Linked DNA regions of Kluyveromyces lactis. The protein of the gene in region 1 purifies or fractionates together with the protein of each later gene. This does not show direct contact. Links are inferred from orthologs where the notes say so. Each region holds a gene or a part of one and is shown in the gene's direction. Other genes may lie near its edges.

Region 1 (4,968 bases):
TACTAAATTGAATAGTGTTCTGAAAGTTATACTTTATTTCAACATCTATTTATGAGTTTGTATTTAAACTGACTCGAAAATGGTTGGTTTAAGTAAACAAAGCAATCCAATGAGACGACTAAGGATTAAAGAATCGACTTTTGAATCTTTTCGTTGTGTATTTGCTCTATACATATACGATCGTAATAAAATTTTTTTGGCACGAAGCGCGAAGAATGTTAATAGTTTAATAATGTTTTAAAGTTACTTGTATCGGTAAAAAGTGGACGTCAAGTCATCATGAAATCGTGAGAGAAAAAAAAAAGAAGTATCGTTGAAATATAAAATCATAGTTCAGATGTGAATCGTTTATTAATCACGTTCTATTCACTGTGTGTAGTTTATAGAACACATATTTCTCCCTTGAGAAGGGAAATAAAATTGAAGATACCCCATACATGAAATTCATGATATATTTTCCTCGTTCATATAATTGATTTATAGGTTTTGGGATATCGTTTAAATAGCTTCTCTTAGAACTTGGTTCAACTTGTTGATTCTGGAAGCAATTGACAAATCGACGGTTCTGTCGGAAACTTCAACGATTAAACCACCTTGGATTTCAGGCTTGACAACGTTCTCCAATTTCAAAGACTTACCCTTACCAACCAAAGAGGAAGCAGCCAAGGCCTTTTCCACTCTCTTGAACAACTTAGAGTCCAAAGGTTGAGCAGTGGTAACAGTCGCTTGCACAAGACCATGGTAAGCATCAGTCAACTTGGAGAATTGGGAAGTGACATGTTCTAACAAGGATAATCTGTTGTTTTCAGCCAAAACCTTCAACAAGTTTTGAACGGATTGATCCAAATTGATTTTCTTGGACAAAGTGTCAACAACAATGTTTCTATCTTCAGCAGACAAGGCTGGGTTTTCCAAAATGCTGGTCAACTTGGTGTCCTTGGCAACAGTTTCCTTCAAAGCATTCAATGAGGAAGCAGCAGCTTCAACGGAAGTGGTCTTTGAGGCAGCAGTGAACAATGCAGTGGCATAGGTACCATCCAAACCGAACAATTGCACTGGAGGCTTAACACCAGCCTTGGCAGAAGCTGCCATAGAACGAACAAATACTCTGGAAAACATGACTCTGTATATAGTGGTCTCTTTGATTCAATAATTCAATGATTTTATGGTTATTCAAACAATTGGAAGAAAACTTGCTCAATAGATTAAATGAAGTTTAAAGCTTAAGATAAGGTTTGGTACAATGGCAATAACAAAACACACACCTAATCGGAAAAGAGAGACTTGTCTTAATCTGATCAATGCAGAATCACTAACAAAATAGCAAATACACTTAAAAAATACAAATAAGCTAACGTAGAACGAAAGCTTCTTTTCCTGTAAATTACAAATTTATTTCTTAAAGGTGTGGAAATATTGAAAGTTCAATAAATTTTCAATTTTTTTTCCTTCCTTTACCTATATTTTTTCAAAACTTTCTCTGTTTTTGATCGGATCCTCCCTCCTATGTGTTCTTCTTTGTCTCTGTTTCGTTTCTGCTCTTGTGTTCTTGTTCCGGCCAAAGAGGTCCAAAAAAAAAAAAAAAAAACACGATCTAAGTTCCTCAGTAGTCGTAGGAAACGATGACGTGTTTTCATTGGTTGCGAGTCACGTGGAAATTAAACACTATGCTTTCACTTTTAATAGATATATTTGACCTTAATAGACGCTATGAGGCTTCTTAAAAGTAATTTGTATTGGATATTTGGTGCATCGAGAGTTTGAGACTAAGAATCGCTATCTTACAATCACGTGATTTAATAATAGCACGTGATCTATATATTTTCCTCTTCTTTTTGAAGATCCGAAAAGGTAATCTGGAGTTTCTTTTTTGTAGTTGAAAAATTCAAGAAAGTTGATGTTTGAGAGATGAGACGAGATGAGATGAGATGAGAGACTCTTATATGGATAAATCAGCTGTACTCAATAGTGAGTTGTAAGTGAGGACGGTGAAGTACACGTAAAATACACGCAGATTAAATGGGTAAAAAGTCTTTGGCCGAACAAATCGCAGACATTGCGAATAAACCACAAGTTGAAGATTTCGACATTGAGAATGATGAAGGTGTATTTCAACATGGTGGGTCCGATTCAGATGTTAGTTCTGGCGATGAGAGCGAAGAAGAGTTGAAGAAACAGCATTATGTGGCAGTAGGAAAGTCAAAACTTAGAAATGTGGTCGATCAAGGATTGGCCGTAAAGGATAAGAAATACGTCGGGAGCAAAGGGTCTAGAGCAGAACTGTTCAATGACGAAGAAATGGACGCTCCTGAACAAGGAGAAAGTGAGTCTGAAGCTGAATCCGGATCTGAAGAGAGTGATGCAGTATCCTTTAGAAGCGATTCAGAAGATGTATCCGAATCTGAAGCCACTTCCGAGTCAGAAATAGAGAAAGATAGAGAGGAAGATGAGGAGACTGCGATGAAGAAAGAGAAATTGGCCAAGATAGTACAGACGCAAACTAAACAAGTGATTAATAATTTAGCACATTCCGCTCAGAGAGATGCTTCCAAAGGTTATGCCATCTTACAACAGAATAAATTCTTCGATAAAATTCTAGACTCTAGAATTAAGTTGCAAAAAGCATTATCCGCTTCAAACCAGTTACCACTTTCTCAACAATCTTGGGATGAACTTCTAGATGAAAATAACTCCAAATTGCTAACTAGTACTTTCAAAGTTTTAGAGAAAGTTTTGACCCAGTGTGTTACAGTAAGGCATAAATTCCAAATCGGTGATCACATAAACCAATCTGAGAACCCTTCTGACTTCGATAACAGCAAAAAGAGAAGTTTTAAGGAACTAGTACATGAAACTGTAACATTGGATTCTGATTTAAAATCATACCGTTCTGCCGTACTTAACAAATGGTCAGCAAAAGTTTCTGCATCATCAGGAAAATCTCTTCTGCAAGCCTCCAAGTTTAAAGCGATCAACCAGTCAGCTGATGTACAAGTGGATAACCAACTTGCTGATATGCCAAGATTACTTAAAAGGACAAAACTCAATAGAAGCAATACTAAACCTTTGTTGTTTGATGAAGATTTACAAAAAGGTCTACTAAAAGAATTGCAACTGGAGGAAAACGTAGAAGGAGACATCGAAGAAGAAAATAATTTGGATATTCCAAAGAATTACGATCCAAGAAGGAAGGATAACAATGCATTAGATTTTACCCAAAACCCATATATCTATGATGACGAAGATTTTTACAGAGTTTTGTTGAATGATCTTGTTGAGAAAAAAATATCTAACTCTCAACAATCCAATGGTGTTACTTTGGCCATCACTTCTCGCTCTGAAAACAAGCTCAAGAAAAACATCGACACCAAGGCTTCAAAGGGTCGTAAACTAAATTACTCTATTCAAGAACCAATTGCCAATTATGAAGCATCAGTTAATACTGGGTATAAATGGTCGGATGAGCAAATTGATGAATTCTTTGCTGGTTTATTAGGTCAAAAGATCAACTTCAATGAAGACGATGAATTGGAAGCTGACACGATGCACAACGAGGAAGACGAAGAGATCAAAAATGACGATATTCAAATTTTCGGATAATTTGGAGTTCGACCTTCAACTTGTATTTATTTTTCATCTATTGTTTATTATTATAATTAAAATATGTACACGGCATTCAAAATGTCCAACAAACTGACATCGACAAATCAAACATCGATAATATTGCTCATGTTACTTGCCATACTCTCTAAGTCAACCTCATTTTCTTCTTTTTCTCTTCTATGGCATTCTTCCACTATGTTTTCCCAATTGGAATTGAAAACACAATAGCTCAAAGCAAACGCCAGTAATAAGATCCCGGTACCGCATCCGTACCAAAGCCCTTTTAATCCCAACTGAAATTTACCAAAAGTTAGCCATCCACTTAAAGGCAATGCGATAAAATAGTATGCTATGATATTTAACAGGCTGCCAACTTGCTGCCGTCCTTGTGCACGTAATATCGCAGCGCTAAAAGTTGTGAATGCATCATATAATTGGTTAACTGCCAAAATTGGAGCGACATGACGATATAACTCAACGACCTCTTTGTCTTTAGTGAACAAATACGCTAAATTCTTGTCACCTGTTAAAATCAAACAACAATTCGCAATCCCTACAAACGCTGCTATCACGTACGACGTATTAATACAGATCTTCGCGTTGTTGACCGATTCTGTCCCAACATAATTAGCAACCCTTGTGGAAACTACGCAACCCATTGCGAATGGGATTTGATATATCAAAGATCCTATGTTCGATACGACTGATTGTGCTGCTATAGCCTTGACACCGAGATATGTAGACATAATAGTCAATACTTCGAAAGAAAGGTACTCTGCTTCAATCATGAGTAAACCAGGAAATGCCAAATTCCACATAGGTTTCCAGCTGCAAAATAATCTTTTAAAGTGGAACATTGAAGAGAACATGGGATACCAACAAATCAGAGTTTCCTTTCTCCAAAATTTGCAATAAACCAGTAGCATTAAGGCCATAAACCAGTGCGATATGGCGATACCTAGAGGAGCACCAGCATATCCAATGTAACGAGTAAATGAATACACTAGAATAATATTAACTGGAACTGTAATCAACAAGGAGTATGTTCCTGCTTGGAAATGGCCCTGTGATTGAAGGAATCTCTTACCAGTTTCGAAAAAAATCAGCCCTGGCAACCCAAACGATATTATTCTCAAGAAAAGTTGTATCTCTGGGAGGATATCCTGTTCAGCAATCACATAACCTAACCATGAAGCACTGAACCACCATGATATAATCACAGGGAAAATACCTGTCATTATCATCGCTGCACAACGGAATGAATATAAACCAACTTTTGCATATTTCTTGGCACCATACGCTTGTGAGCAAAAGGTATCCAAAGAAGTGGCCATACCCTCCACAAATGCTAAACCAGTAATATTG
Region 2 (5,475 bases), about 540 kb from region 1:
GATGGTTTCAATATGGTCTAGTAATTGATCCACATTTGCCGACCATTCGTTGAGCAGATCACTAGAGTTGTTTGGCTTACCAAAGTTCACAATCTTTTCAGGTCTATTTATCTTTGCGTAAATGATACCCTGGTTGACCAAATCACTGATAAACGACTCTGTCTTGGCCTCATCTAAATCTAATAGCTCCTTTAACCTTGGCAAAGTAATTTTTGTATAGTATTTGGAAATGACACGCAAGTTGTGCTCTATGATTCTCTTATGAAGATCTTCCCAGTGTGATTCATTAGACCCGAATGCAACGCCGTCCTGGTTCAAAATTTCTTTGTAGGTATCTTGTACTATTGGCCATCTCATTAGTTCTGCTGTGGTGAAGAGTTTTACCAAGGATTCTTGGGATGGCAATTTCTTTAGATTGTTGTCCAACTGAACCTTGTGAATGAGATCATTTTGTAGGTTATCATATGGCGATAGAATCAAGAAGTATACAACCCTGGATAGAGCTGCCTTCCATTGAATTTCATCTGCCTTCACAGAATCAGAGTTGTAGATTTCTTGGTAGTACTGAGCCACTTCTAAGTAATCTTTCTTATGCAAGCCAATCTTTACCAAAAGGTTATAATACTCTAATTTCAATGCTGCATACTTTTCATTCTTGAAAGTCTTCTTTAATATTTTTCTGGACAACACAGTGGCTTGAGAGTAATCACCTTTTAGGATACTTAATTCCATTTGTTCAAGGATAAATTCAATCTTTTCATACATCTCCATGGACCCATACGTTTCCACTTGCAATTCACATAACAAGTCAGTGGCCTCATCGATCTTGTTCTCAGATCTTCTGATATGAACCAAATCTCTAGTGACTCTAGCTCTTTCAACTTCCACGAAAATCTTGTTCTCAGTCACGGTTCTTATCGTCTCAATAGTTTTAATCTTGGTGTCCAAATCCTTCAGGTCTTCCAAATATTTCATCACAGACTGAATCATATACTGCACAGATAACTTCAATTGACCATGCTTTTTTGATAGAAGCATGATTTGGTCGTTAAGTAGGTCCCATTGGTCTGCTGCGACCAAAACATCTACGATCTTAGTCAAGACTCTTTTCGAAGATGCTAAATCAGAAGATTGTCTAGTCTTCTTTTCCAACACTAACAATTGATCCAAAGCACTGGAATAATCATTCTTGGCCAAAATCTCAAGCTTAGGAAATTCAGCGTCCAAGATTTCGGTATAATCTTTCTCTGCCTTAATTGGAGCGTCTCTGGACATATTTTACGATATAATTTATACTCTTTTCTCTTTGCTCTGCCTGCTCAACTTAAACCGAAATGCAATACAATCAATTTCTCTGTATCCGTCCTGTATTCAAACCACACAAACTTACAGTCTCAGAACCGACACTGTAACCTGCTGTACCTCTGTTCGCGGTTATTTCGTATATATTTGCCACCTGTAACTGATTTCCTTTATTTCTCATAATGCCTTTAAAATGACAAGCTACGGTAAAAGCTTCCTCAGTAACAGTAACAATCGAATCTTAGAAAAACGTGACTTCATCATCGTTCGTAATGATTGTGCTGGATATTCGGGTAACCTTGATTTGATTTTATTGTGCGGGTAACTATTTTCTTTCTTTTCGGTGAAAAAGCATTAAAAGTTTGACAGAAGATGAATTGAGCGATGAGATGAGATGAGATGGGATTAAATCAAAGGCTGTCAGAAGGTTCAGTATCTTGGCCGATTGTATTGAATTGACTTGCATCATCAGTTGTGTTTAGACCATTCTTCTTGTCTGTGGGCAAATAGGTTACAAAGTCGAATAATAATGGGTGGTTCACAGTTGAAGAACTTGAAGGCCGCTTTAAAGGCTAATGGGTTGACTGGTCAGACCAATGTCAAGAAGAGTTCTAAGAAGAAGGGCAAATCTCCCAGGGAGTTTGATAGAGAAGAAAGACAGAAGACTATTGAAAGAATTAGGGAACAGTTTAATCCGTTTGATGTGAAAACAAATCGTAATAAAAAGGTTGGTGTGATGAGGGAATCTGCAGCTAAACTTGCAGTAGGTAAGCCGGGAATCACTAAACAAGCCGGTGAAGATCAACGTAAAATGTTCTACGAAGCCAAGAAGTCCAGCAAGAACAGAAGCGGTGGTGTCTTAGATAAACGTTTTGGTGAAAAGGATAAGAATTTGACTTCCGAGGAGATCATGTTGGAACGTTTCACAAAGGAAAGACAACGTCAATCTTCGACGAAAAGATCGTTATTCAATTTAGACGATAGCGATGGTGGTGAGGATGAAAACGTGTACGGTGAAAAGTTGACTCATTATGGTAAGTCTCTTTCCTTGGAAGATGATTTCGATGAAGGTGATTTGGGGTTACAGCATTCTGATTCGGAGGACTTCAGGTTGAAACAAGCTGGTAAAAGAAATATGGCGGATCAATACGGAGATGAAGGGTTAGGTGATGACGCTTTGCAAGAGCCAGCAAGAAAGAAGACTAAGGCAGAAGTCATGCAAGAGGTCATTGCTAAATCCAAATTTTACAAACATGAAAGACAAAAGGCGCAGGAGAAATTGGTCCAAGATATCGAAGGCCTTGATGACGATTTCGAAAGCATTATGTCTGAATTAAGGACGTTACCAAAGACTAAACCTTCTCAAACTGAGATTTCGACCTCCACAGACATCGCTCCAGATTATGATATCAAGGTGAAAGAGTTAGTCTTGGAGAAAAGAGCTGCCCCTGCAGATAGAACTAAAACAGATGAAGAGATTAAGAAAGAATATGAGGACAAACAAAAGGAATTGGAGCAGAAAAGGCTTGATCGTATGAACGGTATTTTCAACATTGAAGATCAAAAAGATGCTGGTGTTGAAGATTTGGGAGAAGAGTTTTGGGAAGATAGCGACTCTGAGGAGGGCGAATATGGTGAATATATCAAAGCAATTCCTGACTCGGATGACGACGTTGATTTCGAGAAGGATAACAATGATGACAATGAATACGACGCTACATCAAATGGTAGACCTTCAGCAAGAGTTATACCTTCTGTTCCATGTCCTCAAATTCACGATGACTTACTAAATTTCTTGAAATCTTATCCTATCGAAGAGCATCCATCTTTAGTTAAAAGAATAGTAAAAACATACCAACCAAAATTGGCTGAGGGAAACAAAGAAAAATTGGGCAAATTCACTGCTGTTTTGCTCAGACATATACTTTTCTTGGCTGAAGAAGATTACTCGGTTAATGTGAAAGAAATTGCATCATTACAAAACGAACTAGTAAGCATTCTAAAGACTCTTTCAGAAAAGTTTACCATTCCACTATCAGAGGATTGTAGAAATATCATCTCAGATATTCAGACTAGATTCAAAGAATCCCAGTTCTATGGACTATCTCCATCAGATTTGGTATTTTTCTCTGTTGTTGGTATGTTGTTCTCCACTTCGGATCACTATCATTTAGTCATTACTCCCTGTCTGCTTCTAATTGCAGAGTTTTTGGAACAAATTAGGTTCAATTCTCTTCAAAAATTAATATTTGGTTCGATACTGGTTAGAATCGCCATCCAGTATCAACGTATAAGCAAGCGTTATATTCCTGAGTTAACATACTTCTTGCAGACATCTTTGCGTTCTCTAATACCGAGTACCAAAGGGGAAACATTAGAAAACAAAGAAAAACAGGAGGACAATTTATCAATAGTAGGCTCGGATATTAACTGGTCCAAGGTCGCCCCTTCTTTAGAATTACACTCATTATTTTCCGAGGATCTAGAAAAGCAAGAATCTATCAAACTGTCCGTGCTGGTCAACAATCTAGAATCAATTGATTGGTGCATAACGAACATCTGGAAAGATCTTACTGCCTTCCCAGAAATCATTAATCCCTTCAAAGACATACTAAACGTGGCTGCCGAAGTATATCCTGGTACTTCTAAACCAAAACAATTAGTGGAAAAGATCGAAAAGCTATTGAAATTCCAAGAACGTCTGCCATTGACGTTGCAACAGCATAAACCACTGGCGATTCCATCAAATACGCCTAAATTCGAAGAGAACTTCAACCCAGATAAGAAGTCGTATGATCCAGATAAGACCAGAAGTGAGTTGAACAAGATGAAGGCGCAATTGAAGAAGGAACGTAAGTTCACTATGAAAGAAATACGTAAAGACACTAGATTCGAGGCAAGACAAGGCATTGAAGAAAAGAAGAAGGAGTACGCCGATTACCATTCCAAGATGGCACGTATTGTCAATCAAATCAGTACTGAAGAAGGTGCTGAGAAAAACAAATATGAGCGTGAAAAGAAGCTCCGTAATACCAAACGTTAACTGCATATTATATAATCTATACTCAACATTAATAAACTTTATCATCGATTGCGATCTGATTTTTTGTAATATTGGTTTAATAGGCCCATAACACCATTTCCCGCCTTCAGTTCGTCAGCATTATCAGCAATATCATCCTTAAAAAGGGTAGATTTGTTGATAAGTGAACCACTCAATGAGCCTAATTCAAGGTCCGAACTACGATCCGGGAATCTCTTCACCCTTGATCGATTAAGATTTCTCTTACGATTGGAGTTTTTACCTAAGGCAAATTGTGTCTTCCAGGAATAGTCTTTAGTAGAGCTGTATGGGTGATAAGATGGCTCGATTGGAGAAGCTGGTAGCTGATTTTTGCCCACTGCATTGCCTGCATTCTTGTAATCGTCAACGAAGTACATATATGACTGAAGCATTTTGTTAACACCCTCATCCGATTCGGTTTCACTATCATCCTGTTCTGCTTGGGAAAACATTCTCTTAGTTTGTTTTTTGGCCTTGGTACCTTTGTCAATTTTAGTAGCTTCAAACATTGCGTACTTACACACGTATCCCAACCCCTCCTCATAGACGGTACATTCTCTAAAAAAATCTATTATTCTTTCTGAATTCTTTGGCAGGGAGAACCATAATATGAAGGGAGTGATTATAATGCTGACTAGTTCCCTTAGTAATAATGTGATTCTCAAGTTGTAAAGCCTACAAAACTCATTTTTGATGTCCTCTGTATGATATTTCCCCTTCCATTCCTTTGGAGCGTAGTGTGTATACGACACAAGTTCCTCCAGTGTTTCCTCTGGTTTGAGAACCGTATACTCATCGTTGATAGAACTGTGACAAACTGCCCATAAAGTACCAAAAACAGTCATGTAAAATAAAACAGTTCTGTCAGGTGTAATTTCGAAGTTTAAGAAATTGTCTGGATCAAATATTGTCAGAATACCCAAGATTGCCACAAAAGAACCGGAAACAAACTGTATAAAGCTTAAGGTCAAGCTTAATAATGTATTGGGAAATTGATTGACATAATTGTCCGCTATTATCATGCTCAATCTCATTCTTTTTTGGAAAATATGATATAATTCATTGTATTCCCTAAATTTCCATTCAGCAATAGGAGTATATTGCCGAGA
Region 3 (5,146 bases), on another chromosome or scaffold:
TAAGTGAAACATTTCCTGGGAAGTATTTTTTACCGTTAGCTTTGATGATAGGTTGAGAGCTACCAATACCTATACCTCCCCCAACAGTGTTGAAATATACGTTTCCTGTCTTGAATGGGTCCGCATCGAAGATCTCTTGTCTTGGATGAAGTTGGATAATTTTTGTAGACGAATCACCAAACAAATCTTTATTTGATACTTTCCATGGGTCGCGAATACAAACAGCAAATAACAATTTTCGTTTTTTCTTACTTAACGTATCCAAATGTTGATCTTCACTTTTTAACTTACCATATTCTTGCAGAAAGTTTCTATACCTTGGATTTTTCACGGCATAAGCATCGCCATCTTCATCGTCCTCGTCACGAATTCTCATACCCTCTACGAATAATATCGTAGGTGCCATCCACTTGAAGACCTTAGATTGGAAAGATCTCATAGAAAAGCCCGATTCCCTTCCAACATATAATTTCTGGAACCTGGAGAAAACAATCTCCTTCGGTAAAAAAGTTGCTAACTGCGATAGCTCAGATTCATTTACAATTTTAGTAGGATTTGAGATTGGTTGAAGAACGTCCGCGTCTACGAGATCTCTATCCATATAAAGAACATGTTCCATTAGCATTTTCAAGGGATTTAAAAGATTAGGGGCAACATCATTAACGGCCATGGAAAATTGGGTATATGTGATTGATGAATCCAAACAGTCTGACATTGATATAATCTCGGGGTTCATTGTGCGTACAATATTAAGAGCTTGATGTTTGAAGTCCTCTAAGCTCTTCGCCAAAACATCATTGTCAATTTTACAATTGTTCAAAATGCAGCAGCGAGAAAGAGCCAATATCAATGCCAAAAAGTGAAGAAGATTATTTGCATTTACTTTCAATTCATCAAAATCAGTTCCGTTATAAGATCTAATGACCCCTTTCCAATCCTTACAATCAGATAGAGCCGAAGAGTCCATGAGAGGTTCAGCTTTGATATTCTTTTCCAAAGAGAGCGTAATAAATAGCATTTTCAAATCATTGTACTTTTTCCAATCGGTGTACTTGATGGCTCTTTCCTTGACTAGTAATAGCGTGGCCTTTAACAAGGTTTTGAAAGTAACCTTTTCGTAGGAATCTTGTAGAAGTGGAAAGTTCGCTAGAGTATGAAACATATTCATAAATACCGATAACATTACAGCACTATCTTTCGGGATATAATACATTCTGCTAATATCTGAAACCTCGACATAATCGTTTAGTTCTTTGCCCTCAGGAATATTGTTCTTGAACGAAATTAGTTCAGCAGTAGTTAATTGTTTTAAGCATCTGTCATTGAAAAAATCCATTAAAGATTCTCCTTTTAGTTTAGATTCATTTGTCCTAGCATTTTCATGCTCTTTAGAAGTTGATTGGCCCATTTTGCATACATTATTGTGACAGTTATCCTTATGGCTTTCCTTCTTAGCACCTTTTCAGAGTATGTGTAAGAGTAAATCCTTAAATATACCTTAATGTAAAAAGAGGAGACTACGTACTAACACAAAGAAACAAAATGTTAACATATAAGAAAATGGTTGGGAGCAAGAAATTCCTGACAAGGTAGACTAGAGCCAGCCTGTATACATGGTATATGAAAGTGAAAACATATAGTTCTTCCGACCTGTAATTGCTCTTTACGGCTCGATTACATCTGTATTTGGCTCTTTTCACGTGACCGAAGTTCACCAACATTATTTTTTTTCTTTTTGATTTTAGAGTTTTTTTTTTTTCTTTTCAAATTATGCCAACCTCATCTCATCTCATCTCATCGACACCTACTAGTTAATCAGTAAGTTCAAGATTTTAAACCTTATGCACATCTAGTTTCGGTATCGTGCCAACGAAATCAACTAAGTGAACAATTTAGAGTCATATTAGTATACTAAAGGATGAATTCGAAAGGGGAGAAAAAGGAGAAGATCACTGAAGATCCAAGATTTTCTGGGATTCATAATGATCCTAAGTTTAGGTCAACTAAATCCAAGAACTTTAAGATCAAATTGGATGATAGATTCAGTAAACAAGATCTAGAAGTCAGACGTAAAGCAAAAGTTGATAAATATGGTAGAAAAATTGTGGATGCTAACAAGGATGTAAAGGATTTTGATCGTTATTTTACCAAGGAAAAGCCGGAGGACAAGGAGGATGAGTCTAATTCATCCGAAAGCAGCGATGATCAAGAAGCTGAAGCTGCTGTTCATGCAAAATCTGTTGATAGAGCTCGTGGTGAACCTCCTGCTGATTACGTTTCTTCTTCTGATGAAGAGTCCTCCTCTGAATCCGAAGAAGAATCTGGGGACAGTGACATTGAATCAGAAGAAATCGAACTAGAAGAGTCCAAACCTGCTAGTGGAAATGCCACAAATACGTTGGCTGTAGTGAACCTGGATTGGGATCATGTCAAATCTGCTGATTTGTTTGTCACATTTAAGTCTTTCGTGCCTAAGGGAGGAGAGATTCAAAAAATTGCCATATATCCAAGTGAATTTGGTAAAGAAAGGATGCAACGTGAAGAGATCGAAGGTCCTCCAAAAGAATTATTCCAGTCAAAGAAATCCAAGAAGAATGATAAAGATGATGATGAGATTAATGTCGAATCAATTTATGAGGAAGGAGACGCAGAGGACTATGATTCTAAAGCACTTCGTCGTTACCAATTGGAACGTCTAAGATACTATTATGCCGTGGTTTACTGCAGCGACATTAGGACAGCCGAATCAATCTATCAAAACTGTGATGGCACAGAATATGAATCTACAGCCAATGTCTTTGATTTAAGGTATGTGCCTGATGGTATGGAAATGGATGATGATCCTCGTGATGAATGTACCTCGCTTCCAAAAAATTACAAGCCGGCACAATTCAGTACAGATGCCCTTCAGCATTCCAAGGTAAAGCTTACATGGGATGAAACTCCTGCAGACCGTGTGGAAATATCTAAAAGAGCATTCACTCAAAAAGAAATTGAAGAAATGGACTTTAAAGCTTATTTAGCCTCCGATAGTGAAGAATCTGAAGTTGAGCATGATGATCAAGTTAAAAATAAACTCAAGGCTTTAGTAATGGATTCCGTAAAAGTGGGGCAAAAGTCACTATTTGATCAAAAGGAAGATGAAGACGATAATGAGGCTGATATGGAAATAACTTTCACTCCAGGCCTGGATGAGTCTGGCCAACAAGATACCAATGATAACGAAGAGGAAAGCACCATTGATAAGATTAGACGTAAAGAAAAAGAAAGACGTAAGAAGAGAAAGGACAGAGTCAAGGAGCTTAAGAAGGAATCAGAAGCCAAATTAAAGGAGAACCTTAAGAAGAAGAAAGATACTTCTCACAGCATCGATGACGATAAGAAAAAGGGAGAGTTAGAGCTCTTAATGCTAGATGAAAATGAGGGTGAATCAACAATTAACAACAAGGCACACTTCAACATGAATGAGATTCTCAAATCTGAGAAGGAAAAATCCAAAAAGGCCAAGTATCAAAACAAGGAGAAGATTGTGGATGATGAATTCACTCCAGACGTTAATGATCCAAGATTTAAAGAGGTCTTTGAAGATCACGATTTCGCGATTGATCCTACTCAACCAGAGTTCAAGAAGACACCAGCTATGGAGAAGATTTTAAAGGAACGTACAGTACGTTCAAGCAAAAAATCTAGGGGCAAAAAGCGTAACCACGAAATTGCAAATACTGAACATAGTAAAGACATAAATAAGATCGGCGGTTTAGTTGAAAAACTTAAGGCCAAGAACAAAAGAACAAAACACTAATTTGCAAACTTGTGGACACTTTATATCAACCCAAAGACGTCCACATCTTATATGTATATATTCAGCATTTGATTAAAGCATAAATACATCATTTCACTTAATCATGCGACTGTATCATGGCATGGTCTGTAACTTTAAGTCATTTCCTTATTTATCCAGATTTGTACGTCATATTCTGTGTGTGAACAAAAAGAAAAAGTGCACATTATCACATTATATGAAATAGGTTCATCTTTCTAAAGATTATCTAAAATTGTAGGTAATACACGGACAAACCGATAAACTTACTAGATAGACTCTGCCACTGCCATAATATCCAGGGAATAATGGGGCTGGTACAGGGTTATGAAAGTGAGAGTAGTGATGATGGCTCATCTGTAGCTGTGCCTAAGAGATCGTTAAAAACATCAAAGGCTGAATTGAAGTCCAAAAGACTTAGGAGGAACGGGAAAGGACCATGGGCAAAATGGCAAGGATCTAGTGACGATGAGATCGAACAATTATCAAAGGATTCAAATGCTTCTAATTCCTTAGATTTAGGTGGTGATGAGGATGCAGTGGCATCACAATCACTTGAAAGAACGAAATTTGTAGGCAGTACTGAAAAAGACTATCTGGGAAGATGCATTTTACACCCCCCAGTAGATATTCCATTAGAATTCAAGAAAGAACCACTATCATTCAGGTGCTTCCTTCCGAAAACCAAGATAGCAGAATACTATGGGCATAAGAATGGTACTACATCATTACGATTCATACCGAAAACAGGACATCTCTTACTTTCAGGCGGTAACGACAACATAATAAAACTATGGGACTTTTATCATGAGAGAGAACTATTAAGAACGTATGAAGGTCACTCTATGACTATAAAGGATTTGAACTTTACAGATAATGGACATTCTTTTGCCAGTGCATCATTTGATAAATGGGTTAAGATCTGGAACACCGAAAAAGGTATAATTGATAAAAGATTGCGTTTCAACTCTGTACCGAACTGTATTACATTCCACCCAAAAGACAAGAACCAACTAGTGGTAGGATTATCCAACTCCGAAATACGGCACTATGACTTGAGGCTATCAGAAAACCATGGGGAAGTACAGAAATATGATCATCATCAGGGTTCTATTTTGGCACTAAAGTACTTCCCTGATGGTAAGAAGTTAATCTCGTCGTCAGAAGATAAAACGGTCAGAATTTGGGAGAACCGAATCAATATTCCTATTAAACAAATCAGTGGCACAGCACAACATTCTATGCCATGGATCGATATTAATCCACAGGGTCAGTCTTTCTGTACACAAAGTATGGACAACACCATCTATACGTACTCAATGTTAC

The links. Proteins that work in one complex are often made in the same cells at the same time.
Region 2: the proteins of BFR2 (region 1) and NOP14 purify together in Saccharomyces cerevisiae (affinity purification with mass spectrometry; 3 studies listed by BioGRID). This does not show direct contact. The link is inferred for Kluyveromyces lactis from reciprocal best matches to the Saccharomyces cerevisiae genes BFR2 and NOP14.
Region 3: the proteins of BFR2 (region 1) and ESF1 purify together in Saccharomyces cerevisiae (affinity purification with mass spectrometry; 3 studies listed by BioGRID). This does not show direct contact. The link is inferred for Kluyveromyces lactis from reciprocal best matches to the Saccharomyces cerevisiae genes BFR2 and ESF1.

Annotation. Positions count from the first base shown.
Region 1 is NC_006039.1:886,755-891,722, reverse strand, and holds BFR2 (rRNA-processing protein BFR2), read left to right. Parts: upstream 1-2,019; coding exon 2,020-3,600; downstream 3,601-4,968. Other genes in the region: ATP5 (F1F0 ATP synthase subunit 5), read right to left, coding at 499-1,119; ERC1 (Erc1p), read right to left, coding at 3,708-4,968. UniProt on the Saccharomyces cerevisiae protein: Involved in endoplasmic reticulum to Golgi transport. Involved in a protein-transport step blocked by brefeldin A, which disrupts the Golgi apparatus and its incoming protein flux. May also be involved for mass growth or cell proliferation.
Region 2 is NC_006039.1:1,425,920-1,431,394, forward strand, and holds NOP14 (snoRNA-binding rRNA-processing protein NOP14), read left to right. Parts: upstream 1-1,831; coding exon 1,832-4,345; downstream 4,346-5,475. Other genes in the region: proteasome regulatory particle lid subunit RPN5, read right to left, coding at 1-1,275; autophagy protein ATG9, read right to left, coding at 4,387-5,475. UniProt on the Saccharomyces cerevisiae protein: Involved in nucleolar processing of pre-18S ribosomal RNA. Has a role in the nuclear export of 40S pre-ribosomal subunit to the cytoplasm.
Region 3 is NC_006041.1:1,888,396-1,893,541, forward strand, and holds ESF1 (pre-rRNA-processing protein ESF1), read left to right. Parts: upstream 1-1,918; coding exon 1,919-3,802; downstream 3,803-5,146. Other genes in the region: RTC5 (Rtc5p), read right to left, coding at 1-1,408; CDC40 (Cdc40p), read left to right, coding at 4,129-5,146. UniProt on the Saccharomyces cerevisiae protein: Involved in the 18S rRNA synthesis. Required for the early cleavages at sites A0, A1 and A2.